3 linked regions of the Sus scrofa genome follow. The protein of the gene in region 2 interacts with the protein of the main gene of each other region in a biochemical or structural test. Links are inferred from orthologs where the notes say so. Each region holds a gene or a part of one and is shown on either strand. Other genes may lie near its edges. The genes, in order: GRK6, ADRB2 and GRK2.

What was found.
Region 1: the proteins of ADRB2 (region 2) and GRK6 form a complex in vitro, tested with the Homo sapiens proteins (2 studies listed by BioGRID, with this or other methods). The link is inferred for Sus scrofa from reciprocal best matches to the Homo sapiens genes ADRB2 and GRK6.
Region 3: the proteins of ADRB2 (region 2) and GRK2 form a complex in vitro, tested with the Homo sapiens proteins (2 studies listed by BioGRID, with this or other methods). The link is inferred for Sus scrofa from reciprocal best matches to the Homo sapiens genes ADRB2 and GRK2.

Annotation. Positions count from the first base shown.
Region 1 is NC_010444.4:80,521,479-80,531,619, forward strand, and holds the start of GRK6 (G protein-coupled receptor kinase 6), read right to left. Parts: upstream 5,731-10,141; 5' UTR 5,571-5,730; coding exon 5,519-5,570; intron 1,862-5,518; coding exon 1,766-1,861; intron 1,203-1,765; exon of another isoform or gene 1,003-1,202; coding exon of another isoform or gene 969-1,002; intron 824-968; coding exon 711-823; intron 593-710; coding exon 515-592; intron 164-514; coding exon 63-163; intron 1-62.
Region 2 is NC_010444.4:150,028,777-150,039,112, reverse strand, and holds ADRB2 (beta-2 adrenergic receptor), read right to left. Parts: upstream 6,465-10,336; 5' UTR 5,806-6,464; intron 5,551-5,805; 5' UTR 5,318-5,550; coding exon 4,061-5,317; 3' UTR 3,522-4,060; downstream 1-3,521. UniProt on the Homo sapiens protein: Beta-adrenergic receptors mediate the catecholamine-induced activation of adenylate cyclase through the action of G proteins. The beta-2-adrenergic receptor binds epinephrine with an approximately 30-fold greater affinity than it does norepinephrine.
Region 3 is NC_010444.4:5,222,753-5,233,017, reverse strand, and holds the start of GRK2 (beta-adrenergic receptor kinase 1), read left to right. Parts: upstream 1-5,510; 5' UTR 5,511-5,573; coding exon 5,574-5,686; intron 5,687-9,646; exon of another isoform or gene 9,647-10,265. UniProt on the Homo sapiens protein: Specifically phosphorylates the agonist-occupied form of the beta-adrenergic and closely related receptors, probably inducing a desensitization of them. Key regulator of LPAR1 signaling.

The sequences.
Region 1 (10,141 bases), about 70 Mb from region 2:
GGGTCCACAGAAGCCCCCTATTCAGGACACAGTGCTCAGCCTGTGGGCAAGGAGAGGCTTACCGGGTGAGCTCCTGGAAGAGGTCTTTGCAGGGCCCTTGCTCCAGCTGCTGGGCACAGTTAGTCACCAGTTGCCGGGGAACCTCGGGGATGAGGTCAGGACCCTGGGGACAGGCCACACACAGGTGAGTGCAGAAGGGTCCCTCGGCCAGCTGCCCACTCCCAGGGCAGACACGGCAGAGATCTCAGGCCTCTGCTAGGGGTGGCTGCAGCTGGCGGTGCATCAGCCTGCCCAGTTGCTGACCTTGGTTCCTGCCGCTCCCCTTGAGGCAGCATGAAACAGAGCTGCTGGCAGGCTGCGGGGCCCAGAGCCCTGGCCCACCCTGCTGGGCTCCATGCCTACAGAGCTGCCCAGTGAGCCTGGAGCAGCTCCAGGGCAGTCTCTGCCCAGACTGTGGTCATTCCTCTCCCCATCGCTGAGCTCTGCCCTCATCCCTCCATCAGTGCTCACTGACCGTGTGGCTCAGAAAATTCTGCATCAGCCGCCGCCCACATGCCTTCCGCTTCTCATCTGGGGTCACTTCATACTCAGCCTGCAGGGTGGGAGGCAGAGCAGCTTGGGGTTTGGGTGGAGAAACAGGTGTGGGGAGACAAGGCACACATGGCCTGAGACCCCTGCCCACCCTCGATGTTGGGCTGGGCTGCACTCACCACCCCGTCCAGGAAGGCAGTGCAACGGGTCAGCTCGGGCCTCGTGGCGCAGAACTCTCGGAACAGCAGGCGCCCAATGGGCTGCCGCTCGCACAGGCTGTGGTAGTCACGCTCTGCAGGCAGAGGTGGGAGCCGCTGGGTTCCCGGACCTGGAGCCTGCTGGCAGGGCGCTCCTGTCCACACTGCCAGGCCCGGGGCCCCCACCAACAGCTTCCGGCCCCCCAGTATGGCAACCGTTATCTCCTTTAGAGCCCTCACCACAGCACTGAGGTGGCACTACTGTTATTGCCATCACAGCTTGGGACTCCGAGGCCCAGAGGCTAAGTGACTAGCCCAAGGTCACACAGCCAGGAGTATGGCTCCAGGGCCTGGGTCCTCACTTCCGGCCGCTGTGTCCTGGTTCACACCACTTGCATACGTCACAGTGCTGGGGTTGGGTGCGGTCTGTGAGGTTCCGGCCCGGCCCGGGCCCAGCCCACACCTGCTGCCTGCCTGGCGAAAGTGTGGGAGGAAGCTGTGGCTTCCGGCAAGCTCGAGGCTAGGCCTCCGACCCGGGGATGGTACTCCCAGCCCACGTGCAGGCTGTCAGAGGGGGCCTGGGTCCTTCTGATCAAGGCTTTGCTGGGCACCCCCAGGACAGGGCTGGGTGGAGCTGAGCACAGGCCTGGGGTTCCCCGGGCAGTTGATCTGTGGGCTGACTCCAGCCCCCGCCACACCCTCCGTCCTCTGAGCCCTGCTCATCCGGGCCTGGCCCTCCCTTCCGCTGCTTCCCGCAGATGGCCTCAAATCTGACCCCGTCCCACCCCCTCCAACACCTACCCCAACCGCCCCCTGCTGTCCTGTGTGCTCTCTGCCCTCCACCCATCCTAAGCCCAGGAACTGAAACTGGGTTGGGTGGTGCAGCCTCAGTCTCTCCGCTCCCCGAAACCCCTCAACCCGGTCCTCCACCCCAAAGCAAAGTCTCCAGGGGGGCTGCCCCGGCACCAGCAGGATCCTCTCACCTCTGCATGGCACTGCCCCCCTGCCCCACCCCCCAGTCTCTACTCAGGCCTCACCAAGGCTGAGCCGCAGCTCTTCACACTGGCTGATGTGGGGGAACTGCAACATCTGCCGCCATTTCTTGCTTTTGCCTTTGCGATTCCCGCCACCGCCTGTTGGAGTAAACAGCAAACGGATGCTGGGTCAGGCACTGGGTCTCAAGTCCTGCTATGGCCTCCCGGCCACCCTCAGTGCGGTCCAGAGGCCTTCAGGGCCTGACCTAGGCCAAACCCACTCTGGGAGGCACCTCAGGCCTTCCTTCCACATGCTCCAACATGTCCCCACTGGAGGACGCACATGGTCCCCTGGGCCTTCCTGCTAGGGGCTCCTGGGCTGGAAGAGCCAGGAGAGGCAATGGAGTCCAGGTGGCTGGGGGAGGGAGGGGTTCCAGGAAGCTCTGGCAAGCCTCAGCTGCTTCCTACCCGGTAGGACTTTCCCAGGTGGAGAAAGAGAAGGACAGGACAGTGGTGAGAACTGTGTAAGTCATGGCCCAGGAGGGAGATGTTCCAGGACATGGGATCATGCCTGAGAGATGCCAGGGGCAAAGGGCAGCTTGGGGCCCAGGGAGGCTCCAGGCCTCTATTCCAGGCCCTGCACCAGAGCTATCAGAGTCTCAAAGTGGCACCAGGAAGGCTGGCACTCAGGATGCCTACCCCTGCTTTCCTGGGTACCTGCCCCATTTTACCTAGCTGACCCCTCATTGTAGCTGTTGAGACCAGGGTAGCAGTGCAAATGCCTACAGAGCCAGAGCCAGGGTATGGTAAATGGGAGACAACAGGGAGGGGTAGGGCGTGTGGTGAACCAGACTCGGCTTGCGCTTCGAACAGGGGTAGCTGCAGCTGATTGCTTGACTGTTTCTAGGCAGGAATGCTGGCTCAGGGTGGCCAGCTCTTCTGACTTTCAAAATCAGTTGGGGGTCCAGGCTGTTATATGAAAGATTGGTTCCTGTATTTTAAAACCCACTGTAGCCAAATAAACACAACACATTAAAGAGCTAGCCAGCTGTGGCCTGTGGGTCATGGAGTTGAAAATGGTGGAAGGGGCCTGAGTCTTGAAATCTCACAGACCTGGGTTTGAACTTCCACTTTACACTTCAAGCCCATCGCTTGTCCTCTAGGGACCTCAATTTCTCCATGTGTACTTGAGGTCCAAAGCCATCTCCAGAGGTATTGTGAGGGTGACCGAGAGCCTATCCAGTATCCAGCAGAGCTGTGGCTAGAGGTGGGCCCCAGCTCTGAAACTCAAGGGCGACCTCAAGCCACCCCTTTCCCTTGCCTGGCCTCAGTTTCCCCTGTGGTTTCCCCAGCTTTGTTTCCATCTGGCCTGGCCGAAGGCACGTGGTGCAGGAGGAGGAGCCATCTTCTAGGGATAGGGCAAGGTTGTGTCCCCTGATGGGCTTTCTGACCTAAGCTGTCTGGAGGAGGAAGTCTTGCAGGGTACCCATTGGGAAACCTGCTAGCGGCTCTCCTGCAGCCCACACCCAGCATATGCCAGTCATTGCTCCACTGTAAGTGAGCAACAGACCCCCCACCCCCAATCCAGGGCAAGGCCTCCCCAGAAGGGGAACTCCGCCCCCACCCCCGCAGGTCCCTCACCCAACCCTCCATCCGCCTGCTACCCCCACCAGTTACTTCCTCCTCCCTCCTCCCAGCCACATCAAGGCAGCAGCAAAGAGTCACATGCAAATATCCTGTCCTGGAACTGCCACCAGAGTCAAGGGGGCTCCTCCCCACCCAGCCCGGTCCGCTCCCTGTTTCTCTGAGAGCCTGGGAAAGGAAGGGGGACCCCCAGTGCCACCCCACTTCATCCTCACAGCAACTCCGCCAGACCCGGCCCAATCTTATGAGAAAACAGGCCCTCAAATGAATCGATTTGTCCAAAGTCCCAAAGCCTGGAGGAGTCCAATCCAGCTCACTGGGACCACAACCAAAGCTCCTCTCCCACCACAAATGTGCAAGGCATCTCTCAGGTGTTCTCTGAATACATACAATCCCAAAACACTCGGAGCCTCAGATCACTTAGGAAGCTGGCAAAAGCCCGGCCCAAGCTGTTACCCAACTCACGAAGGGGTTCTGATGCACCTGGTCTATGGACCAGGATTCAGGACTCAGTGACAAGCGGGGCTTCCTTTAGTTTTCAGTTCCCATTCCCAACTCTTTCACAAAAAGAGTTACTGAAGTTCAGAGAGAAGAGACTTGTTTACAGCTACCCAGGTGGGAGGGGCAGAGCCAGTTCAGATATTCCAGCCAAGACACGGGTCCCAGTCTGGCCATAACCCACTGTGCATCACCCATGGCCTGTCAGAAAGTGCCCACACTCTCTGGCCAGGCAAAGCACTGCTCTCAGTAGGACTGAACTGACTACAGCCCTGGGGAGGGAGGTCTGGCCAGGCTTTCCCCACCCCTCCTCCCTGGCTGGCTGGATGACGAGGCAGAACAGAATCGGCAGATGCCCCCAGAGGCTGGGAGGAAGGCCTAGCCCCAGGACTCGATAAAGGACAGGAGATAAGGAAGGCTCTGGGCACTGAGGACCCAGCCTGCTGTGCCCATTTCCAGGCAGCACCTCCCCAGGGTCAACCTGCAATGGGCAGGCAGGGGGCACCAGATGCTGTGCCAGTTGGGGGTTCCTCTGGTTTTCCTACAGACTGTGCTGGGGACATCCTATGTCGTAGGCCTGGGTCAACCCGTCTCATTGCATCCTGGGGGCTAGTCCCTGAGCCGAGCCTGGGTTTCCCACTTGTAAAATAGATCAGAAAGGTGAAGCAGATGGCTCTTTCAGCCTGGAAGCCCATCAAAGAGTAGAAAAACTGCCCTGACCTCCCTGCCCTAGAGTTCCGAAAAGAAGTGTCTTCTCTGCTGGTCCCCAGCACCCTGGATAGGACAGGACATAGAGTAGGTGTTCAGTGATTACATTACTGAGGTGGTCAATGGCAGGTGAGGAGCAGACTGACCACAAGGCAATGGGGGCCAGTCTGGTCCTTCTGTGTCCCCAGGATCCTCATAGAGCAGGTGCCTGGTAACATCTGAAAAGCTCAGCAACACTAGGTTCACCCCGCCAGCTCCCTGTGCCAGGCCTTGCACTCAGTCCCACCAGCCCAGCATGCTCCCTTCCTTCAGAGCTCAGCTTCCAGTTATTTCTGTGCCCCTCTGCCCCACTAGTCTGGGCTTCCTGAAGGCAAAAACAGTGACCCATTCCCCTCTGTCCCCAGTGTCCTGAGGCACTGAGCAAGAGGACGTCTTGCTGGTAGTCTATGTGACCAGCTTTCCCCGCCTCGGGTGGGCTATGCTACTGCAGAGTCTTAGTTAATTCATTCTCCAAACCTTTTACCCGTGCACTAACTTTGTGCCGATCCAGGCTGGGCGCCGGAGTTTGGGCCCGGGGCACGTGGGGAAGGCTGCCCCTTCCTGGGGCATCTTCTTACCTCTCTCACCTGGGAGAGGCTTCCAGGACTGAGGTCCCACCCTTCCCTCTTCCTTCCTCTCTCCTTCCCTCACCCCCTCATACACACACGCACGCACACACACACACACACACACACACACACAAACGCGCGCACGCGCGCGCGCCGTGAGGGCGGCGGCCTGACCCCCGCCCTTTCCTGGGCTCCGGCTCCCTGGGGGCAGGTGCGGAGAAGGACCATGGGCCGGAAGGGCCCCTGTCTGAGCGAAATGCTGGGCGCGGAGAGAGCTGCCCTAGGGGATCGGGCGACTAGGGCGCCCAGCGGAACTCGGAGGCCGCGCGACCGCGTTCTCCGCACCCGATCGCCTCACCTTCCCGGGCCTTGAGTAGCACCGTGTTCGCTACAATGTTCTCGAGCTCCATGGGCTGCGGCGCCGCCGGGCCCGCCGGGCCGCGCCGCCGGCCGGGATCGCGCGAGGGAGCCGGGGCCGGATGACGATCGGCGCGGCGCGGCTCGGCTCGGCTCGCAGTGACCGCGCCGCGGCCTCCCGGGCCTCCCCGGCCGCCGCCGCCCGCCGCTCACTCTCCGCCCCCTCCCGGGGGCCACCCCGGCGCCGGCCAGGCCCGCCCCGGCCCGCCCACTGTTTACTTTACTTGGCCAATAACCGGGCGGGTGCTCCCCGCGCCGTCTTCCCATTAGACAACTTCTTCATCATCCCCCGCCCCCAGAGACAGGGATTCGTTCAAAGGAACAGGGGGGCGGGACTTAATACGTCACATCTTCCTAGTTGGTCTACGATGGGGTTCAGCCTCTATGTTCGAATTTCTGGGCCTTCGTAGGATACCGAACTGCCAATTAGGGACGAGCCCTCTGCTGGGACAACGGAGGTGGGTCCTCTGGGTCACGCCCTGGAATTCTTGTACTTGATTGGATGAAGGAAGCGTCGGTCAGCCTTAGCACTGCACTCTGATTGGGCTATTAGCTGTGGGTGTGGCCCGGGTCCCTTTGACTCGCCTTGGCTTTTCCAGGGTTTTTAGGGGATGCATTTAGTGTTCTGGGCCTCCTCCCGGCCGGCCTCCTGCAGGTTCGGGCCGTGTATCCGGCCGTATACTTTTGGGTCGGCCCATCTTGAAGGGCGCACATCGGAAGCGGGGAGAGGCCCAGAGAAGGCTGGGGGCCTCCCTAGCTGCTCCTCGGCCTCCGTCCGGGCCACCGCGGGCGCCCCCGCCCTACCCCCACAGCCGGATGTTGTGATTTCTCTCCACCCACAGGGCCTCGCCCTCCCTCGGCCTCTGCTGCCTTATAAGGCAGCTCTACCACCCCAAGACGTAGGGACGAGCTCACACCCATTGTACAGGTGGGGAGCTGAGGTCTAGTGGCTGGCTCTAGGCAGAAAAGTTGGGAGAAAATAAGGCCGAAATTTTACAGCTGATCAACACCTTCTAACTCAACATCCTACTCCCTCCACCCTCACTTCACACACCAGGAAATGGAGGCTTGCCCAAACTTGCTAGTAAGGCAGAGCCAGCTTCAACTAGGCTTCTCAGATCCCTATCCATTCATCATCCAAAAATACAGAGAACAGCACCTTGTGCCAGGCCCTGAGCCAGGTGCTGGGGAATACAGTAGTGCCAGTAAGATAGCCAGTCTCTCTGCCTACCTTCTAGGAGAGGGATAAAGATGATAATCCTATAAATAAACAAATAAGTGGGATGGTCTGAGGGAGTGGTAAGTGCTAATAAGACATCAAGACAAAATAGTGAGGAGAAATGATCTCAGGTTGACATTTGAATTGATTCAACCACGCAAAAATCTAGGGGAACAGTTTTAAGCACAGGCAACAGCAAGTGCAAAACCCTGAGCCTAGAGTAAGTTTGGTATGTTCAAGGAACAGGAAGAAGGCCTGTATAGTTTCAAGGCCCAATAGTCTGAGATGAGATGAAGGAGCAAGGATTCTAGGTAGATCCTGGAAGGCTTTGTAGATCAATGATGAGGAGTTTGTTGTTTTCCCTAAATAAAATGGGGAGCCTTAGGATGATTTATACTTTAAAAAGATCACTCTAGCTAATGGACTTTTAGAGGGGCCAGGAGTGGAAGCACAGGGAGCAGTTGGGAGAAGACAGAGTGCGGCGGCTTGGAAGAAGGTGGCAGTGGAGATGGAGAAAGTGCATGGATTTAGGATACTTTGGGAAATAAAGATAAGTACCTTGAAAAAGGGAAATCCAGTGGCCAGCAGGACAAAGGGCAGGTACTTCACCCAGTGAAGCCTGCTGTGTCCAAGTGAGATCTAAGTGTTGAGTGAGAATGTATAGGTTTCAGAGGTAACATGAGTGGAGCAGGAAAGAGCCACTGGATGCAAGTTCATATTCAAAATTCTGTAGAGGAAGTTAGTAAGGGCTCAAGCATTTGGTCAGAGCACTGAAGTAGAGTTTCAGGTGCAAGGTGGAATGCACTTGAGGGACAAGAAATGAGGCTCAGGCCTTGAAGAGGCCTGGATGAGGAAGGTCCTTGGAAGCTAGGTAAGGAGGAGGTTGGACTTCATTTTGAGGGTAGTGAGGAGCTGTCCAGGGTGTGTTAAACTAGGGACTAACTTCATCAGATTTGCTTATTCTGTGCCACACTGTGGAGGATGTGCTGGAGTGAGGGTGAAGGGTTGGGAGAGAGGGGCTTGGGCTGACTTATAAACACCTATTGCTTTGGTGCCCAGCTTCTAAGCACCCCTCCCCTTTGGGAGGAAACCTATAAAATGCAGAGGCATGCCCTGGTTTCCACTAGGGAAATCAGAGAGGAGGCAGAACTTATTCTCCAAGGTCCCTGGTAGCTGGAACATGTTTTCAATGCCTGCAAGCAGGTCTTTGAAATCCAAAGCAAGTGATTAACATAGAAGCATCAGAGGCCCATTTAGGGTTCATTAAGGTGGCAGTGGAAGAAGAAGGGGAGGTGGTCAAGCCAGGTCCTTTCTGGGGCCAGGGGATTCAGCAAGCGCCTAAGAACATCAAATCAATTCTTTGTCTGCCCAAGTTACCCAGAATTTTCTCCATTGTTTGGAGCCATGTGTCCTGAGTAAGAGAGGTGGGAGGTCCTTTGAAGAGGAAATATTAAAGAGAGGAATGATGCCCCATGCTGGGGCAGTGGCCAGGTTAGAGCTATCATGGAGCTGGGATGAATAAGACTTGGCGACTTATTTGGGGTGAGGAAGGGAAGGTATCACACATGACTCTCAGGTTCTGACTCTTCAGACCCATTCTCTGTCTATGGGCAAAGTGATCCTTTTTATTTATTTTTCTTTGCTTTTTAGGGCCGTGCCTGCAGCATACAGAGGTTCCCAGGCTAGGGGTTGAATCAGAGCTACAGCTGCTGGCCTATGCCATAGCCACAGCACCCCGGGGATCCGAGTGGTGCCTGCCTGCCACCTACACCACAGCTCACAGCTCACGGCAACACTGGTTTCCCTACCCACTGAGCAAGGCCTGGGATCGAATCTGCATCCTTATGGATAATAGTTGGATTCATTTCCATTGGGCCACAGCAGGAACTCCAAAGGTGATCCTTTTTAAAGGACAAATATTTCACTATTCATCTGACATATGCATATGCATTTCTAGGGTTTAACCTATAAATATAATTGCACTCAAGCAAAATAAGAAATGAATGTTCAAGGTTGGTCATTGCAGCATGGTCCAGAAATTCCAAATGTACTGATTGTACTTAATAGGGACTAGTTAAGATTTTGTCCTTTCCTGTATAGGAATACTATGTTGCTTTTTATTTATTTATTTATTTATTTATTGTTAATATATAATTTTGAATGTTTATTTCTTGTTTTCTTTTTCTTTTTTTGGCCATACCCATGGCATGTGGAAGGTCCCAGGCCAGGGACTGAACTTGTGCTGCAGATACAACCTGCACCACAGATGCAGCAATGGTGGATCCTTAACCTGATGTGCTCGCCACACAGGAAATTCCCTACCTAGTTTTTTTAAAAGTGTGGGGGTCCAAAAATAAATAAATAGATAAATAAATAAAATTAGGGAGTTCCCTGTGGTCTCGTGGTTAGGACTCAGCACTTTTTTTTTTTTCTTTTTACAGCTGCAGCAGCAGCATATGGAAGTTCCCCAGGGCAGGGGTTGAATTGGAGCTAAAGCTGCAGCCCATGCCATAGCCATAGCAACACAGGATCCGAGCCACATCTGTAACCAACACTGCAGCTTACAGCAAGGCCAAATGCTTAACCCACTGAGCCAGAGCAGAGATTGAAACTGCATCCTCACAGAGACAACAGCTCAGGTCCTTAACCTGCTGAGCAGCAATGGGAACTCAGCACTTTCACCAATGTGGCCTGGGTTCTATCCCTAGTCTGGGAACTGAGATCCCACATCAAGCCACTGCATACCACAGCCAAATATAAATAAATAAACAAAGTGTGAGGGTGCTCTTCATGAACTAATATAAACAATCTCCAAGATGTATTGCTTTTTGGTCTGTTAGTTTGTTTTGACTCTGCCTGAGGCATGTGGAAGTTCCTGTACCAGGAATCGAACCCGCACTGCTGCTGCAACTTGCACAGCAGAAGTGACAACCCAGATCCTTAACCTACTGAGCCATCAAGGAATTCCTTTAAGATTATTGTTAAATGAATAAAACAAAGCATGGAACAATGGGTAAGGTTTCTACTGGATGTATTTAAAAGGAAAAAAAAAAAAAAAAAGGTCAGGCTAGTTTAGATTATGCTGCCCTAACAGACAATCCCTAAATTTCAGTGACTTAAACAGAGTTTATTTCTCAGGTATACTCTGTGTCCAATGCAGGTTGTTGGAATGTGGGGAAGTTTCACTCAGAGTAGCCACTCAGGGACCCAGGACTCCATCTCAATCTGAGCTTCTACAATGGCAGGAATACAAGGAAATATGATAAATCATATGGTAGCTCTTAAAGCTTGCACCTAATGGAGTTCCCACTGTGGCTCAGGGGGAAAAGGATCCAGTGTTGCTAC
Region 2 (10,336 bases):
TGTTCTCTGAGGTATTTCAAAAATTCCTCCTTCCAATTATATTTGCACTGTCCGTCAAGTAGGGATTAGCACAGCGCTGAATTTAGTGACGGTTGTTCTGTCAACGGAAAGCATCTTTCACAGTGTGTTGACCCTCCCTGCTCTCTGCTGGCAGAAGGTCGTGTCCCCTGCCCTACAGTGCTCGCTCGAAATGGACAGCACATTATAGGGCCAGCTTGTCCTGCCCAGTGTTCCATAAGGTCAGCTACCTGCTCGATGGAGGAAATCTTCCACTTTTGGAACCAGACAGTGAATCTGCCAGGGCACGAGGCGGGCTGTATTTCTGCTTTCTCCTGTGCTTGTTTTACTGTTTCACATCCTCTTTTCAATTTGGCCTGATTCTCTGATGAAAAGACAAAGCAAAGACTCAGAGAAGCACACCAGGCACTTCAGCAACTGGCTTCCTGTCTCAGTCCCCAGCGCACCCTGCAGTCACATGCTTCCCGGGGAACATTCCTCTGTCCCCGACCCACAGCCATCTCCCTCTTCTCTCAGCAAGGTATTGCATTTCCAGTTCTGACATGTGTTCCTGCATGTATGGTGAACTGCATCATGCCACTTCCTGTTTGCATGTGTGCAAGGAATCACATGGACCTGGGTTCCAGTCTAAACGCTGCAGCTAGCTGGTTGTGTGGCTTTGGCAAGGGACTTAACCTTTCCCCTCATTTGTTAGATGAGGACGGTTTTGCTACCTACTTCCTAAGACTGTCAAGGTTACATCATGCCTAAAAGCTGCCTGTTACAATGCTGAACGTTTAGTAATATTTCATAGACGGTATCTGTGTAGTATTACTAGTATTATGCTCCAGAAATCAGAGATTGAAACCGGTATTTTTCTCCTGCTGCACACAGTAGTTGTAAATAACTCCTGGCGGATTCTGGTCAAGCTTCTCTTGGTAGGAGGTGCATCAGAAACATTCTAAGCATCATTTAACGACAGGTCCTACTTCCCAGCTCCCTTTCCCCCAGGACCCTTCTGCCAGTAATGATCTCAGTGAGGAGGCCCACCCTGTTCTGCCACTTTGCACATCTGTCAGCTTGCATCTCAGGATAAAGTTCTCACTTGACAGACTCCAAGAACTTGCTGTCCAGGCAAAGACAACTTTATGATGATGCATCCAACACACACCTTACGTAACCAACCTGTCAGTAAACAGGGACAGATGCTGGCAAATGCCCACTCCCCAAAAGAAACAAAACGGGATGAAAGGAGATGGAAAGCAAGCAACTGAGATAGGCCTTAAAGGCTCCTGATTGTCAAAACCCTTAAAACTGATCAGAGTTCTTGTATTTAAAGTATTCCCAAACAGACATGAATTAGGCTAAAACTCCCTTTTAGCTGGAAGTTTATGAAGTAACGTCATAGCTGAGTTTTTAATTAAAACTACATTAGATAATCCTCTAACCAAAAGAGTATGTATGTATTATTGTCCATGGGAGTTAGACATGATGATGGTAAGGTTTCCAACCTTTTTTTAAAATAAGCCTATGGTAAATTTCTACCTGGAATGGCTTGAAATTTCTGGCAGGTCATAAAGAGTTAAGGAATCTCCCAGTTTCCCTAAATGCTGAGAAAAAGGAATGATTCTCTTGTCCCTACTGCACATTATTTGTTTATTGCCTGTGTTTTGTATTACGGACCTGAAAGAAATGTTAACATCTGCAGAAATGAATTGGTTAATGTGCCAGTCCCAAGGAAAAGCTTCCGCGATTGAGAGTGAGGGCAGAATCCCATGATAATGTGGTAGAGAGAATACACCAATTCTGGGCACGACAGCTGGGTTGCCTGGCATTAGCCCTGACTCTGACATCCTTGGCTTCTTACCTTGGGCTGATCTTCCCCCTTCTCTTTGGATGTCAGATGCTTTCTGTGCTTTCTCTTCCAAGTCTGAGATCCCCTGAGCCTATGAGGAGTGTGAAGATTAGCTGGAGAAGTTGCCTGCATCTCTGAGTGTAGGGCCCAGAGCAGGGGAAGCATGTGATAATGGGTATGAAAGCCCTTGGAGAAAAAGCAGAAGTGCTGAACGGCACACTCTCCAATGTGTGGAGGCATATTCTAGAAAAACAGGCTCCCAACTTTCTCCTGAGAGCTCAGTACTCATCCAGACACCCCATCACTGCACTGAGAGGAAGTAGAGAAGACACATGCTTTTCTGGTCGGAGACCTTGGGTGGGAAGGGAAGGGAAGGGAAGAAAGAAGTGGAGTCAGCTTCATGAGAGTGTGAAGTGGCAGTGAACCTGCAGGTTGATCTCTCCAGGCTGGCGTTGCCAAGGAGGACGATCTACTCGGTCAAACCTGGGCCAAGCGCTGGCTCAGACACCCAGGCAAAAATAGAAAGGGGTGGGAGAAGAAATGTGTTTACTTTTGTGATTTTCCCTTACTGCCTCTTGACAGTATGATCGTCTCTCCACAAACAGGCAGTCGCGGCTCATGGGCCTTGCCTTCATGGATAAACCCTCCCCAGCAGCTCAGTCTCCCCGTCCGTGTCTGGGCAGCAGGGGAGTAGGCTTGGAAGGAGGGGAAGAACATTGCCCTGGGGTCTGGGTTAATGGCGAAAAAAATCCCTCTCTGACGCCCTGCAAAATAAAGTGGTTACATTAGGCAGAATCTAAAAATCTGTTTAGATTTTTGAAGTTTAAAACTGAGGTTCTCAACCAGGGGAAATTTCATTCCTTAAGGGAGGGGTATTAGGAAATGTCTGCAGACATTTTTGGTTTTCACAACTCAGGAGGTGTTCCTGGCGTCTAGTGGGAAGAGGCCAGGGATGCTGCTGGACACCTGGCGATGTATAGGACAGCCCTCAACATTGGAGAATTATTAGAATTATTAGCTGAAAATGTTAATCTTGTGAGGTTGATAAATCTGGATTTATACTGGAGACTAGAGTCGGGGAAGGGGGGACAGGACGCACAGCAGGACAGAGAAGGAGGGTTCAACCCTGTTTCTCGGTCATGAGCTGTTCACCAGTTAAGTGTTCTCCAGCTTTCCCCCTACATCCCATGGCCTTTTTATTTCCCTTGGAGTTACCAGGCTTTGAGTATTTTCACAAGAACTTCCTTATCCTTAAAATGCCAAGCCCTGGTGTACTACAAAGATCTCTACCCTAAGACACGGTAAAGATAAAAACAAGCAGAAACCAGCAGAACTGAAAGGTGGGTGGTGAGGGCACACAGAGGGACATAACTCTGTTCCTATGAGTCAGTGTTTCTGATGTAACGACACAGAACACTGCATAGGAAGAGCGAGATGAACTACGCTGGGAGCGGACAGACTGCTAGGGGGACATCAGCAGTAGGAGAGAGACAGGTTTGCAGCCGCAGATTCAAAGGCAAACAAAAGGGTTAAGCAATCAGTGCATGTCATTCCTGTGTCATTCCACATTAAGTCACTGGGCACTTATTATAAATAGTTACCTGCGGTTTCCAGTGGGGGAGGAACCACACTCCAGTCAAGGGGTTTTGGAGAAACAGGTGCAATGAAGTCATGGTCAAACAATTTATTTACTGTAAACTTTAGACTTTGCTCAGGAAAACAACCAAAGCTGCCCCTCAAATCCCTGCCTACAACACCCCGTTTGAGCAAATAAGAGGGGTGGAGAGAGTCCATGTTCACAGCTGAAAGGTCCGAGAGACTCAAGATCCTCCAGTCCAAGGGTGCAGGAAGGAAGGTCTCCTTCAGAAACAAATTGCCAGCAGCAATATATTACCCCTAATACTTGATCAATGAGGTAGATATGCGGAAAAGTCATCAAAACATACCAGCCCCACGTCCTCTGGGACCGAAGGCCTGCAGACATAAACTTACACAAGTTCCATGCAAAGAGGAACTGAACTGTACAAGAAACAATCACTCAAATAATGTTTTCTCTTTTTTACAACTTAAAAAAATAAAAAATAAAAAGGCAGAAGGATGTTCCTCCTCCTGCACATCTCTATAGACGTTCATTCTAAATTCATCACACTCGAGTTGTTTAGTGTTTGGCTGGGAGGGAAAGGGGCGCTTAGAAAGTAGACACCTGCATCACAGCATGGAGTCATTTGTACTACAGTTCCTCCCCTGTGAATCAGTGCTATCATCGGGCACAGTACCTTGCCGGTGTGCACAGCCTTCCGGGCCTGGGGGCTCCTCACACAGCCGTTCGCTGTCTTTCTCCTCCCCCAGGTAACAGCCACTCTGTTCCCCTGTGTAGTCAGTCCTACCGTTGCTGTTGCTGGAGCAGCCGTTCCCATAGGCCTTCAGGGAAGACCTGTGCAGGCACAGAAGCTCCTGGAAGGCCATCCTGAAATCTGGACTCCGGCAGTAGATGAGGGGGTTGAACGCCGAGTTGACGTAGCCCACCCAGTTTAGCAGGATGTAAACTTCCTTGGGGATGAGGTTGTCATGGATCCCGTGCACAATGTTGACGATGAAGAAGGGCAGCCAGCACAGGGTGAACGTCCCCATGATGATCCCTAGCGTCTTGAGGGCTTTGTGTTCCTTCAAGCAGAACTTGGAGGACCTCCGATGTCCCGGCCCGCTCCGCCCATCCTGCTCCGCTTGGCTGAGGTTCTGGGCGTGGAAGCGGCCCTCAGACTTGTCGATCTTCTGGAGCTGCCTTCTGGCTACTTGAAAGACCCTGGAGTAGACGAAGACCATGACTACCAGGGGCAGGTAGAAGGACACGATGGAAGAGGCGATGGCGTAAGGCTGGTTGGTGAAGAAGTCGCAGCAGGCCTCCTCTGCATAGCAGTTTAAGGCTTCCCGGTGGGTGGCCTGGTACCAGTGCATCTTAATGGGTAAGAAGGAGATAAGGCCCGACACGACCCACACCATCAGAATGACCACCCGGGCCTTGTTCTTGGTCAGCAGGCACTGGTACTTGAAGGGGGACGTGATGGCAAGGTAGCGATCCACGGCGATCACGCACAGGGTCTCAATGCTGGCCGTGACGCACAGCACGTCAATGGAAATCCAAAACTCGCACCAGAAACTGCCGAAAGTCCACATTTTCATGAGGATGTGGCTGGCCCCAAAGGGCACCACCGCCAGGCCCATGACCAAGTCAGCACAGGCCAGGGAGGTGATGAAGTAGTTGGTGACCGTCTGGAGACGCTCGAACTTGGCGATGGCTGTGATGACCAGCACGTTTCCAAACACGATGGCCAGGACAATGAGCGACATGACGATGGCCATGCCCACCACCCATGCCTCGTTCCGCTCCTGTGGGACGTCCTGGTCCGGCGCATGGCTTCCGTTGGGCGCCAGCAAGAAGACGCTGCGGTTCCCGGGCTGCCCCATGGCGCGCAGGCGGGCAGGTGAGCGCGCTGGCAGCCGGCGCACCCGCCGCGCCTCAGCGGGCCGACCTCCGGCGGGGGGCTGCGGGCAGCGAGCGGGCGCCTAGAAGCCTCATTCAGCGGCCGTGGGGTGGGTGTGGAGGGGGCGCGTGGTGCACTCAGCTCCCGGGGTGCTCGAGGCTCGCAGTGCCGGCGGGTCTCTGCCTGCGCTCCGGAGAAGCCGCCTCGGAGTGCGCGCTGCCCGTTATGTGCACAGGACTTGAGGGGAACTGCCCTCCCCGTGACGTGCTCCAACTTGGGACCAATGGCGCGCGGGAAGCCCCAAAGGGGCGAGGCCCCCCCCCCCCCCCCCGCCCCTTCCCTCCCTCTCCCGCCTCCTCCTGGGGCTGGCCCGGGCGGGGCCCCGCTGCTCCCTGCCGGCCGGTCGCCACTCCCTCCAGGCTACCCAGGCTGGCCCCAGGGCTGAAGCTGAAGTTGGGGGGTGCCGCTTACCAGCGAGCTGGGAGCTGCGCAGTCTTCTGTGGCTGCTACCTGCCTGCCCGGGCTTGTCGTGAGGCCTGAGGACCCTGGGCAGAGGGTAGTGCGCAGGCACTCCCTCCTATTCGGAAATAGACGAGAATGAGAGTGCCCGCCAGGACACGCACGGACAGGCACAATTCACCTGGCAGACGTGCACGGACTTAGACGGAGCCACAGCCACCGACACGCAGACACACCCATCCAGCACACCGACAAGCACACGCGCGTGCGCGCACGGACACACACACACACACAAGCAAATCGGCGCAAAGTCAACCTTAACTAACGCAGAGACGTGGTCAGGAACAAACCCAGCAGCACCCAGAACCACAAAGTCATAGGCACACACGAAAAGAAGTAAACAACACACTAAGGGCCACGTGGAGGCAAGCCGGGAGTCACAGCCAAGGACGTCCCCACCCATGTTCTACAAACCCTTCTCCGGCACCCTGGATCTCCGTCCTTTCCTCCCCAGCATGCGGACATTTCGCATATTCCCTTTCAAACATTTGGCGAGACCTCAGGAGGTGACTTCAGCAGCTGCCCATTTCCTCAGCTCGCTCGCTGTCAAGGACTTTCGGTGCTCTCCTTGGGAATCTGCAGGCACTGAGACAGGCTTTTACGCTTGGGATTTCATTCAGACCTGGGCTATCCATGCGTGTGTTTGGGGACAGAAAGAGAAAGTTGTATGCTTTAATTTTAATTCTAGTGAGTGTGGCATCACTCCTTCATTATCTGTTCAAGTGAAAATGTACTGAAAATAGAATAATTTTTCTTTGAAGCTCTACTTCATTCATGCCTGGGCAACTAGAAAAATCATCTGCTGGGTAGTTTGGTGATCCGAGCCATATGAAATTGCTGCTATTCTATAATCTCTGCTTCTAAAACATGGCAATTTATTATGGTTCACATTACTAAGAATGTGTAACATTAAAAATGTTTTGAGGCGTTCCCGTCGTGGCGCAGTGGTTAACGAATCCGACTAGGAACCATGAGGTCGCGGGTTCCATCCCTGGCCTTGCTCAGTGGGTTAACGATCCGGTGTTGCCATGAGCTGTGGTGTGGGTCGCAGATGTGGCTCAGATCCAGCGTTGCTGTGGCTCTGGTGTAGGCTGGCAGCTACAGCTCCGATTAGACCCCTAACCTGGGAACCTCCATATGCCGCAGGTGCAGCCCAAGAAATGGCAAAATGACAAAAAAAAAAAAAAAAAAAAAAAAAAAAAAAGGTTTGAAACCACAGAAAGGAAAAGGTATTTTTTCTTAAAAAAGTCAGACCAAGCTTCAGACGAGGTCATTTTCCATGAAATATTAGCCTTTGCATCTGGCATGTGACTTCACTGTTAAAAAGAAATTAATTTTCAGGGTTTGATTTTTACATGTATTAGTAGTGTCTTTGAAGAACTGAAAGTGTTTCACTCAGTGTAACCAAACATATTTTCTAGATTACATAATAACTTAACAATGGCTAACATTTATGAAACATTCTGCTATGTGCTTTTCATGCATTATTCCATTTCATCCTTCCCACAGTCGCCTGGTGGTGTGTGTGCTGGGGTGGGTGGGGCGGATAGTTATTTTTAATTTAATTCACAAAGGGGGCTGGAAGAGGAGAATAGCTTGCCCACAGGCACAGCCTGGCAATGCCAGGCAGGAGCTGAACCCAGTTCTCCCTGATTCTAAAATCTCTTTTTTAATCCTTTCAATGTACTGCTTTACCATGTGCAGAACAGAGTGGAGGGTAGAGAAGGATTACAACTGGAATTGGAATACTGCATTCCAGTTTCTTTCTAGCTCACATTCCTTAGGCAAATCCAAAATCTGGAGCCTAATTTCCTCTATGTCTAAATGTGCAATAAAGTTGCTTCTTTTGAGCTAAATGAGAACCAAATGATGTAATGATAAATGAGATAGTGCTTTTGCAAGTAAAAACTTCACTCAAGTAGGGTTATAAATGAGATTGATATAAATTACTGAATAGTCCAGAATATGTTGTTAGTGTTCACTAGTGGACACTGAAGTACTTTAGGACAAAAGGACTTGGGCATTTACTCCAGAACTCAGAAGCAAAACCACATGCCCTGTTTAACTTCCTTCACTAGCAGAAATTGTTTTTGCATGACAAATGCCTTAAAACACAAATATTTCCCATAAAAGCCACAGATATTAATTAAGGATCTATTATGCTCACATAATTTTCAAAATACACCCGTCCCATATTTGTGTTTTCCAAAATTGGCTCTGGCAGGATGCATTTTAGGAAGAGGCCTTGTTTGTTATGCAACATTTCTTTAAATACATGTCTTCTCTGGAATTGTAGAACTGAGCCATTTAAAGCTTCTGTCCTATTTGTGATGCTGTGCAATAAATAAGCATATTGTTTAACTCTCTTATAACCAAAAAAGAAAAAAGAGAGTCCTTTTAGAACAAACCTCATGGATCATTTAGGCATACACATAAGTCATTAAAAATTTAACTTTGAATATTTTGGGAAACACCTTTGAAAAAAGCCACAAACTCTAACTCTAGAAGGGAAGACGGCTTGGCTTACATCAGCACCATTCCAGACCTTTGCCCCACCAGCCCCGCCAAAGGGACAGTACCTTCCCTTCTCATTCTGTTCCCCTTTGTCTTCCCCGCATCACCGAGTCTTTTCCCGACCTTCTTTTAGAGTTGTAGGCTTAGAGATAGTTGGAGCAGCAGAGAATTTACTAGACCCTTTACTTTATTCCTCCTGCTCCTCCAGTTTGCAAGTGAGGGACTAAAGTGCAGGAGCCAGAAGTGCCTGGTTGGAGGCAGCAGAGAAGAGGGAGTCTAGCTCGCTTCCTGGCCTCACATGTTTTCACTGCCCACCATCACGTCTTCATTCCCCCGCAGAAGACTGTGACGAGCACAGCGTTTTGGGCACAGCTTTAGTTGAACTGGAAAGTTCTTTGTAGACCAAAGACACCTGCATCTGACATGACAAAGCAGGCTCTATTATGGTGATCGATAGTGTCTAATTACATACTTTTTTTTTTTTTTTTTTTGGTCTTTTCTAGGGCCGCTCCTGCAGCATGTGGAGGTTCCCAGGCTAGGGATCGAGTCGGAGCTGTAGACGCCGGCCTGCACCACAGCCACAGCAACTCGGGATCCGAGCCGCGTCTGCAACCTACACCACAGCTCATGGCAATGCCGGATCCTTAACCCACTGAGCAAGGCCAGGGATCGAACCCTCAACCTCATGGTTCCTAGTCGGATTCATTAACCACTGTGCCACGACAGGAACTCCCTCTAATTACATATTCTGTCCATCGCTTTAGACACCATTTGTTTTTTCCTGCCTGGCAAACAGAAAAAAAAAAAATCTTGATTTACCAAACAAATGTCTGAAAAGGAGTAAGAGTCTGTGAGCGAAGGAGTGCTCTCACATGAATATCTGGATGCCTTAGGAAAATCTTATCCCAGTCTTGGCTGAGACAAGATTCCTTTCATCTTTTAAAAAAAATGTATGTTGAGGTATAATTGACATGGAACATTATATGGGTTTCAGGTGCGCAACGTAGTGATTGAGTATGTGTGTGCATAGGTGGTGAAATGATCATCTTACGTCTAGTTACTGTTCGTCACCACGCATCATGGTTAGCTCTCAGGGTTTGCTCTCTTGGCAGCTTTGGAGTCAGCTCTGCGGTGTTACTGACCAGGGTCAGTGTGACGCACATTGCATCTCCCCGGCTCATTTCTCTTGAAATTGGGAGCTTGTGCCTCTTGACCCTGCACCCATTTTATCCTCTCTCCATCTCCCCCTGCTCCGGCAGACCCCATGGGCTTCTCTGTATCTGTGACTGTCATTTTGGTTTTTATTGTTTTTTTTAGATTTCATATGTAAGTAGACTCACACAGCCTTTGTCTCTCGTTGACATGTTTCACTTAGCATAATTCCCTTACGGTTAATCCATGTTGTCGCAAATGGCAAGACTTCATTCCATTTTATGGTGGAGTGATAGTCCATTTACATGTGTATAAATATATTTATAGTATATATAATATATATATCCTTTATCTGTGTATTTACCAATGTATACTCAGGTTGCTTCCTTATCTTGGGTATTATAGATAATGCTGCAGTGAATATGGGGATGCATTTATCTTTTTGCATTAGTGCTTTAATTTCCTGCAGATAAATACCCAGATGTGAAATAGCTGGATCATATCGTAGTTCTGTTTTTAATTTTTTGAGGAACTAAACGCTCCTACTTTTCCACAGTGGTAACACCAACTTACCTCCCCTCCAAGAGTGCGTCAGGGTTGCCTTTCCTCCACATCCTCACCAGCACGTGTTATTTCTGTCTTTCTGATGATAGCCATTCTGCTGTGTGTAAGGTAATGTCTCATTGTGGTTTTGATTTGCATTTACCTGATGATTAGTGATAATGAGCATCTTTTCATGTGTCTGTTGGCCATCCATATGTCTTTGGAAAAATACCTATTCAGATCATCTGTTCATTTTCAAAAATCAGAATTTTTT
Region 3 (10,265 bases), about 140 Mb from region 2:
CCCCAGATTGGAGATGAAGAGGGGAAGCCAGGACAGGGAGAAACTTGCACATCTGGGCCTTGGCACATGCCAGTCTTCACCTCCCAACGTCACTCAAGCTCACATGCACACAATCTCAAGTTCAAGTCCTTCCTTCCCCAACCCTTCCCCTGACCCTTTTCTCCTGAGCGCCCCGTGTCTTCATGTCATAATTCCTGCCATGTAAATTGGAAGTATTCTTTTTTTTCTCTCTCTTTTTTTGGCCGCACCCTCGGCATGTGGAGATTCTTGAGCCAGGAATGAACCCACACCACAGTGATGACCTGAGCCACAGCAGTGACAACACTGGATCCTTAACTTGCTGAGCCACCAGGGAACTCCTGGACATATTCATTTAGGGGTTTTCTTCCTCACTAGGCTGGGCCACCACCGAACCCTGTTTCCGTCTGTGGCCCTAACTGTGTGCCTGGCACCAAGCGGGGTGTGAGGAATGGGACAGGGACCACAACAAACAGGAGCACCCACCAAGAACCCCCTGAACAGGATGCTTTCAGCCCACAGGATGCAGGGTGAGCAGGAGTCTGCTTTACTGGAAAGGAAGGGAAGGAAGGGCATTCCAGGCAAACGGAATTGTAAAGTCAACACCCCAGAGGTGGACGTGAACTTGGCTTGTTGTAGTGACAGAAGGAAGACCAGAGCGACTGGAGATCAAAGGGCCCAGGGCAGGGTGGGTGGGGTTGAGTTAGACAGATGGGCAGCAGCCAGAGAGCAGGTTTCACAGGCCACAGAAAGGGGTGGGTTTTCTCCCAAGGGCAGGGCAGTCACTGGAGGTGGGGTTAGATTCAGGCCTGTAAAAACTCTGGCTAGAGGAGAGGCAGGGAGCCCTGGGAGGAAGCTGGTGCAGGCATCAGCACCAGGTTGGAGGGGATGGGCTTTAGCAGGACACAGTGGAAGGGTCTGGGGTGCCCTTTGGAGACAGACATGCCAGGTAGTTGACAGGACAGGCTGGAGGACAGCGTGTGTTTGTGTGAGATGGGGGCAGGGGAGGGGGGAGGGGAATCGAGGCTGACTCCTGGGCTTTGGAAGATGACAGAGCCACGACTGAGATAGGGAGGCGGGGGAGGAGCAGGCTGAATAGGGCCTGGGTGGTGGGAGCAAGAGCTGAGTGTGGGATGTGTTAAGTTTGCAACACCATTAGTCATCTGGGGAAGATGCTGGGCGATTGTGTGTCTGCAGGCCTTCCAGCTGGACAGAGATGGGGTTCCACTCCTCTTTCAGTCCCAGCATCCCAGCCAGAGGCTGGCACAGTCTGGGCACCAGACGAAGATTGGTTGAGAATGGCTGAAGAAGCCAGCCTGGAAAAAGCAAGTTTACAATCGACCTTCCCTCAGCCACCAGAGGGCAGCACCACCCAAAAAAACAGCCTCCCCTCTTCCCAGCCCAGGGCTTCTAGGAGCTGCTTTCCTGGGTCCCAGGAATCAACCAGTGGCGCCTTGCAGACTGGCTCTCTGGAAGAATCCCTGCTTCAGGCCTGCCTGGGTTTCCGGTTGGGCAGTGGATGGGAAGGGCCTTCTGGGTTTGCAGGTGGTGCGGGGAGGTGGAGCCACTTCCCGGAGCAGGATGCCTAGCTTTTCAGAATTCACAGGGACTCTGGTCATTGGACAGAATTTTTAAAACAGGAGCTGCTCCAAAAACTCCAGGCCAGTGTGTAGCTGGAGTCAGGGTCCTGACGAGCTGGGGAGGGGTGGGAGCCGGGAAGATAGAGGCCTCCTTTTGCATCTTCCTGTGCTTCTGGCCACTTTCTCTCCCAAACTCCATGCCTCACCTTGAGTTGAGACTCTCACTCCCTCAGTCACTCATTCACTCATCAAACGTGGACTACACCACCTTTCTGTACCAGGTCCCGTGGTGGGCACCAGGGACAAGCGGTGACCTGAGAGCATCAATTAACACTGAGAGAAGGCCATTTTTTTTTTTTCTTAAGATACATTTGCATTTCTAACATCAAGATGCATTTTTCCAATTGATGCAAACATTTAATAAAGCTTCACACACACACATCCCACCCCATCAAAAACCTGAAATGATGCATCTTGCAATTGACGATATTTCCTTTTTTTTTTTTCTTTTCAGGGCCAAACCCTCAGCATATGGCAGTTCCCAGGCTAGGGGTCTAATCGCAGCTACAGCTGCCAGCCTACGCCACAGCTCACGGCAATGTCGGATCTTTAATCCAACTGAGCGAGGCCAGGAACCTCGAACCTGCAACCTCATGGTTCCTAGTCAGAGTTGTTTCCGCTGGGCCACCACAGGGACTCCCTGATGATATTTTCAAATCCAGGAAATAGGCATGAGTGCAGAACAAGAGAGGTGCCCAGCTGGGGGCAGGGGAATGGGGAAGGCCACCTAAAGGAGGTGGCTCTTAAAGAAGAAGCAGGTGTTCGCCAGGGAGGAGGGAAAAGCAAAGGCAAAGAGGTAACAACAGATGGGTGGGCTGGTGGGGGTCCCAGGGCATAGAGGGTGGTGGCAGCACAAGCCTGAGAGAGGAGCAGGACCCAGTCATCCAAGACCTTGACTTGCAGGTTAAGGAACTTGTTCACCTGATCTGCTTTGGGCAGAATGGGGTGGGGCCTGAAGGCCCTTCTGATTCCCCACCCTCAGCAGCCCAAGAAGGCCTGGAGCCCTGCTTCTCAGTCAGACCTAGATTTGGGAGAAGCATCTCTGGTCAGGGCCTGCATTAGCGCAGCAGCCACAGGGATCCTCAGAAGCAGACAGGTTTTTGGGTTTTTTTAAATAATTTTTATTTTTATTAAAGTATTGTCATTTACAATGTTGTCTTAATTTCTGCTGTATAGCAAATTTATTCATATATATATATATATATATATATATATATATATATAATAAAGATATTCTTTTCCATTATGGGTTTTTTTGGGTTTTTTTGGTCTTTTTAGGGCTCCACCCGTGGCATGTGGAGGTTCCCAGCCTAGGGGTCGAATTGGAACTAAACCTGCCGGCCTACACCACAGCAATGCTGGATCCCAGCCACATCTGCGACCTACACCGCAGCTCATGGCAATGCCGGATCCTTAAGCCACTGAACAAGGCCAGGGAACGAAACTGCATCCTCATGAATGCTAGTCAGATTCATTTCCGCTGTGCCACGGTGGGAACTCCCTGTTCTATTATTTTAATGGCCACACTCACAGCATATGAATGTTCCTGGCCAGAGACTGAATCCAAGCAGCAGCTTTGAGCCACAGCTACAACAACACCAGATCCTTTAACCCACTGTGCCAAGCCAGGGATCAAACCTGCACCTCTGCAGTGACCCAAGCTGCTGCGGTGGGATTCTTAGCCCATTGTGCCACAGTGGGAGCTCCTCTGTTATGGTTTATCATAGGACACTGAATTATAGTTCTCTGTGCTATACAGTAAAATTTTGTTTGTTGCTTATCCCCTCCATGTATTATAGCTTACCTTTTTTTCTTGTTATCTTTTTTTTTGGTCACAGCGGGCAGTGGCTTGATGTGGGATCTCAGTTCCCAGATCAGGGATCGAATCCGGGCTGCAGGGGTGAAAGCACCAAGTCCAAACCACTGGACCACCAGGGAACTCCCCAGAAGCAGATGGGTTTAAGAAGAGCCTCAGGAGGCCAGATAGGAGGGTGTGGTGACAGATCAGGGTTGGAGGAGGGAGAGGGTCAAGGATGATGTCTGCAGTTCTAGCTTGGGCATCTGGGTGGATGGTGGTGCCCCCACTGAGAAGGGGACCTCGCCATCTTCAAGTGATCTTGCCATCTTCCAGGCTCTGCCAAGGCTGATTTCAGAAGGTAGGCTGAGAAGTGCACAGAGTCTCCTGCTTTGCAAAAGGGTACTGGTTGTTGGCCCACAAACTGGCGTGAAGCTTGGGCCCCAAGTACCTAGGACGGGGAGGGGATCTTGTCACCTTGGAAAGCAGAGAGAGGCTCTAGAGTGGCATGTTGTGATAGCGGGTGCTGCTTGGAGACACATGGGTTCCTGTCCCCATGGGCTCTCAGCAGAGTAAGTGCCCCTGGCCAGGCAGCACTGTGACCCCCCATGCCCTCCCAGGTCCTGGGGGTAGTGGGGCAAGGGGGGCGATGCAGGGTCCTTGGTCCTGAGTGGGAGTCCTGGGGCCAGGATTGGGTCTGGAGCAGGAGGAGTGAGGATTGGGACTCATGGAGGTCTGGAGTCTGACTGCATTTTTCAGCTCCCAGGTCCATGGCAACCTGTTCAATGTTCTAGGTCCAGTCTCAGTCCCAGTTGGATGTCCTGGTCCTGGGTCCATGTTCAGAGTTTTTTGGGGTTTTTTTGTCTTTTCGCCATTTCTTGGGCCGCTCCTGCAGCACATGGAGGTTCCCAGGCTAGGGGTCTAATCAGAGCCGTAGCCACCACCCTATGCCACAGCTCATGGCAACGCCGGATAATTAACCCACTGAGCAAGGCCAGGGACCGAACCCGAAACCTCATGGTTCCTAGTCGGATTCGTTAACCACTGCGCCACGACGGGAACTCACCATGTTCAGAGTTTTTGATGTTGGGTCTAGAACCCTGGTCTGCAGTGAATGGCCCACATCTGGGTCTGGGCCCTGCTCTCAAGTCCAGGGTTTAGGGTCATGATAGCGGTCTGAGTCTGAGGGTGGGATCAAGGTTGGGGTCAGCAACCAAGGTGGGATGGAGGTCGTGGTCCGTGGGTGGCATCAAGTGTTTGAGGTCATGGTCCACAATCTGGGTCTGGGGTCAGTGGTAGGGTCTGGATGTGAAGGGCGGGGGGGTGGGCTCAGAGTGTTGATCCCAGGCCATGGTCAGAGTCTGAGGTGGTGGTCCAAGGTCTAGGTCTGAGGTCCTGTTCGGAGTCTGGGGTCAGGAATGTTATCCGGGTCTGCGGTGCGATTTCCGACTGTGTCCAAGGTCAGGGGTCAGGGGTTACAGCCAGGCTCTGAGACCCAAGTCCCTGGGATTACGTTCTGAAACGCCAGTCTGCGGTCCCGGCCATGGCCTCTTGTGGAGTCTGGGATCCGAGCTGCGGTCCAGGTCTGGGTCTGGGGGCTTCTTCGGGCCAGGTCCCTGCCGTGTTCCACGTCCGGGGTCAGGGTCTCGGCTGAAGGTTGGGGTCCGAGATCCGAGGCCACGGGGCGGAGCTGAGACGGGGTCCGGGTGGCCCCGGGGGTCAGTCTCAGGCCACCCGCGCGGCCTCCAGGGGGCGCCGCCGCCCGGCCGCCCGGCCCCTCGCGGGCTCGCTGGCGCTGTGCGCGGCAGGCGGGGCCGGAGGCGGCGGCGGCTCCGGGGCGCGGGTGGCGGCGGCGGCGGCGGCGGCGGTGGCGGTGGCGGCGGCGGCGGCGGCGGCGGCCCGACTGCAGTCCCGGCGGGAGCGGAGCGAGCCGGGGCCGGGCCCGAGCCGGCGCCATGGGGCGGCGCCGCCTGTGAGCCGCGGCGAGCGGAGCCGCGGGCGCCCAGCGGGGCCAGGCGGGCGGCGGCGCCCGAGGCCGACGGAGCGGCCGGGCCGGGCCGAGCGCGCCGAGCGGAGCGGAGCGGAGCCGAGCGGCGGGAGAGGCCGCCGCCGCCGCCAAGATGGCGGACCTGGAGGCGGTGCTGGCCGACGTGAGCTACCTGATGGCCATGGAGAAGAGCAAGGCCACGCCGGCCGCGCGCGCCAGCAAGAAGATCCTGCTGCCCGAGCCCAGGTGAGGCGGGCGCCGGCCCCGCGCCCCGCGGCCCCAGACCCCCGGGCACTGGCCCCGGGACCCCTTCTGCCCCCGGCGCCCCGGGCCTGTGCACCTGAACCCGGCGCGCCCCAGCGCCGGGCTTGCCAGCTCCCCTGGCTCCCCGACCCGCCCGGTGCCCCCTGCCCCACTGTGCCTCCCTCTCCCGTCACACACTCTGCCTGGCCCCGGTCTCTGTCGGCCCCAGGGGCTCCCTGCTCCCCTTCATTCTCCTCGGGTAGCCCTGGGTCCCCTCCCCTGCCTGCCCCATCTGCCTGGCCGGACTCTTCCTCCCTTCGTTCCGCTGCCCCTGCTCCCAGCACCCGCCCCCCGGGTGCCACTGCCCCCACCCTGGCCCCCTCGGGTGGACACTTGCCTGAGGTTTGGGGGATACTGGGTCTTCCCCATTCTTCGGGTGGGTCGTTGGCTTGGGGTGGGGTTTGAATTCGGCTTTAGGGGCTGGGGCGGTGGTGGGGAGCAGGGTACGGTGTGCGCCCCATCCCATTAAGACACCATCTGTCCCTCTCCCCGCGAATTCGTCCTCCGGCAGGCCCTGCTTGCGGTGCCCTGTGGGTGCCATTTGCCAGGGGACGTCCCGGCACCCCTGCAGCAGCTGGACCACGGCTGCCACCTCTCTGTGAGACAACTGATGACATTGCACCTGATATCAAAGTTTAAACTGTTCAGGATTTAGGGACAGGAACAGACAGGATACAGGCAGTAGCTCAGGCTGTCCAGTGTTTTATGGCTTCTAGAGTATTTTCCCATTGTTTGAGCGTCAAGCAGCCCATGGGTGGGTAGAACCAGTGTGGAACAGGTGGGGAAGCCGAAGGCCCAGATGGGAGTAGCCTGCTCAGTGTCACAGGTAGTCCAGGGTGGTGCCTGGCTGCCAGATCAGGGCTTCCGGCTGCTGGTTCCACAATGTGGCCACCCTTCTGGCCTGAGCGGGGACCTGTTATTCTGCAACTGCAAGAGCCACGGGCCTACCACCAGTCCCAGCAACTCCTCTATCTCTGCCTGGGAGTTGCCATGCTGAGGCCCAGCCGGCCCAGCCGGCCCAGGAGCCTGGGCCCCTCTGAGCTGTCATGGTCTTATCATGTGACTTTGGGCAAGTCCCTTCCCATTTCAGGGCCTCAGTGTTCTCATCTGTGAAACGCGGTGGGTGCGAAATAAGGACTGTGACCGTGGCATCCTGAGTGTCTGAAGCAGGGCCCAAAGCTGCGGGGCCAGCATCTCCGGTCCCCTCCACTGGGCCCTGTTTGCTGGCTTTCGAATTGACTGAACACCAGGCCTGGGAGAGGAAAATCGGTCTGCATTTTGAAAAGGCCGTTAGGGCACCCCCCCCCTTTTTAAGACATTTGCAATCAGATTTCTCAAAACAGGAACCAGACTGACTGTCAGCTGGGGGCTGTCCAGGGAGCAGCGACAGTTAGAACAAAATGAGTTCAGAAATGACAAAGCCACGAGGGAGGAAATGGGGGCGTCAACCTCTGGGGTTCGCAGTGACTCTCCGTGGTGGCCGCGGGCCTCAAGACCCTCCTGTGGGTCGGACTTGTGTAAACTGTGAGGCGGGGCCTTTTCTAGAATTCTCTGCGTTTGGGTAATCTCGTCCCAGAATGCTTTGCTGCCGACGGGGCCCCGCCTTGGGTTGGCTCTGCAGGTGCTAGAACCCCGAGAACCAAGATGGTCCTTTCCCTGTCCCTTTACCCGCCATGATCGTGATGGCGGCGGTAGGCCTGATGGTGGAAATGAGAATAATTGACTTGTTTGGGACATGTGTCATCTCAGTCGAGCCAAAAACCAACCTGTGGGGTTGGCAAGGCCGTGCCTCGCGTGTAGTAGTTGCTCAAGAAATTTCAGGACTGTGTCGAGTCTGAAACCAGGTGGGCCGGGAGTTTTAGGGGAACAGCAAGAGCCGGAGAACCAGGTATTGTGAGTCCTCACGTAGGGTCACGATCTGGCGGCATGATGTTGGCTAGATGGCCCACGCCATGAGACGGACTAGTGGCCCCAGCAGTGGCCGTTCCTGCACCAAGGCCACGAGGGGCCTCCCGCCTCGGAGGAGACGCCGTCCTTTGCTTTGTGCTTTGCCCACAGGTCAGAGGCCTCCTGGGTCAGAGGCCTCCTGCCCTGGACATCATTAGGCTGTCGCGTACGTTTGCCTGGCACGTCCCAGTTTGCAGAGTGCCTTTTACTCCATTTTATCCTTTTCACAAAACTGTGGGAAGCAAGCATGGCAGGTGGTATTTTCTCATTTAATAGTTGAAGCAACTGAAGCTCAGAGACTTGGTCCCGGAGGCGAGGCAGAGATGGCACTTGGGGTCTCTGGACTCCCACGTGCTCTGCCCCTGCTGTGCCTCATTTCTTCCGCACGCCCGCTCCGTACCTCCGCCCTCACCCGGTCCTTGTTTCGCGGAATGTGCCAGTTGGCACCCCTTGCCCGGGGAGCTGTGGCTCTGTGAGGTGGCCTGGAAGCAGCAGGGCAGCCCCCAGCACCATAACTGTCTTGGGTCACAAGGCTCAGCTCCACACCTGAGGTCATGTCTTGCCCACCTGAGGTCAAGGTCGGGGAGAAAGGCCAAGGTCTGTCTGTGACAGGTGCCATTTGGAGTTTTTCCCACCTTGGGGTGGTCCGTCTTGGCAGCCTCCCTGCGGCTGGTGCCCGAGTTGTGGCTTGGCCGGGAGCTGGGGCTGGCATCGAAGTTCCGACTTCTCAGGGCTGGGGAGCAGGAGCTGTTGGGCACAGCGCCACTTTGAGTTGGCACAGGGGCCTCCCCTTCTGTCACCCTGTAGAATCCGAGGAAACAGACCCATTTCTCGCCCTTCTCGTGGAGGAGGCAGCTGGGTCGCTGGGACCCCATCTTCTAATCCTGCTGCGGTCCCAGCTCACATGGGACCTGGGCGCATCTCATCCCAGCCGAGCCTGCCTCAGTTTCCCCCTTGGTCCAAGGAGGCAGCCGCCCTTCACAGGTGACCTCTCTGGCCCCTTCTGCCCTCGGGGACTGTGGTCTGTGCCTCTCCCCCAAGGAGCTGCTGTCTCCCTTTCTCAGCAGCGGCAGCCGTCCGTAATTATCGTCATTTGCTTAATATGACCACGGAGGCCTCGTGTAATTAATCTCTGGGCTCCTGGCGGAGGAGACCGGCCGGGCGGTCCCGGGAGACGCCCCTGCCCTCCCCGGTGACAGCAGCAGCCCCAGCGGCAGATGTCAGAGCCGGTGCCTCTTGCAGCCTCCGGTCTCCGCGGCTCTTTCCTGGTCCCTCCCCCACCGTGGATTTCCTCCTCCCTGCCCTTTGCTGGCTTCCCCGCTCCCAGACCCGCCGCTCTTCCTCCTGCTTCGGCTCCGTTCCTGTTAACTCTTTGCTCCCAGGACTTCCTGCCCTGGATTTGTGGAAGGAACGGGTGCAGGGAATGGCTTTCTCCTCTCCTCCTCCCTCCACGTCTCCATCACCAGCAGAAACCCTGCTGTTCCCAGCCTTTATCCCCTACCCAGAACTTTCCACTCCAGCAGCGGCGTTCTCTCCCCTCCCAGCCCTGAAAACAAGATTATCTTTGGGGCACTCATTTCCTCGGGGCCTTTGAAGCCCCCACTCGCCCCAGGAATGGGTCTCCAGGATGTCGTTTCCCATCTGTTCTCCTTGCCAGAGCTTGGGTTTCACAATTTTGCCGTTAAGTTGCTCGGCCGCCTGCCGTTCCCTCAGTGAATGGATTCGGAGGGAGTGTGAGCATCACAGGTCGGCACCCGTGCCGGGGAGTCTGGGCTCTGACAACCCAGGAATAATGTGTCCTATTAATGCACGATCAATCCTTAGTAGTAAACTCCCGATGACGTCAGGGGCAGGCACGCCTGCAGCGGCGTTTCCTGCCCGCCCCGAGCCCCCGGGGAGGCTTTGCCCAGGGGCTGAGCTCTCGGGGGCCACTGGGTTCAGGCTGCCTGCGCCTGGCTGGCGCTCTCGGGACGTCATGCTCCTGCCTCGAAACAGACAGCAGGAGCCACGAGGACGCGAGGGTCTTTGAGGAGTTCACAGGCTCCGTCCCACCTGCCCCTTTTTCCTGTGGCCTCGAGGGGCCGGGACCCTCTGCAGGCCGGATGCGAGAGGGTGCCTTCCACTCAAGTAGTCACGGATCTGTTTCAGTCAGGAGAGGCTCAGCGTGAGGGCTCTGCAGCCTTTTCTAAGACAGAAACATGCCTGCCTTTGCCTCGTCGCCCATGAGGAGGGGAGCCTGTCGGCCCGCCGCAGAGCAGGGTTTCAGCAGGGGCTTTTCCAGTGTTAGCAGCTCTGTCTTCTGACTCTTGAGGCCGTTCTGGGGCTGGGCTTCCTGGGAGCTGCAGGGCAGCGAGCCCTGGAAGTTGGCTCCGCGTTTGTTCTAACGTGGTGGCAGCAGTGATGCGTGACAAGCTGCGAGAGTGCTTTTTCCCCGCACATTCTGCAAGCTGTCACTTTGTGGCCGCCATGCCATGGGGAATCTGGGTTGCTACGAGGTGGGCTCGTGTGGGTGGTGCCCAGTGGGTGTCATTTTATCTTCCCTGGCTCAGGGTTAGTCTTTCCCATTTGGTATGTG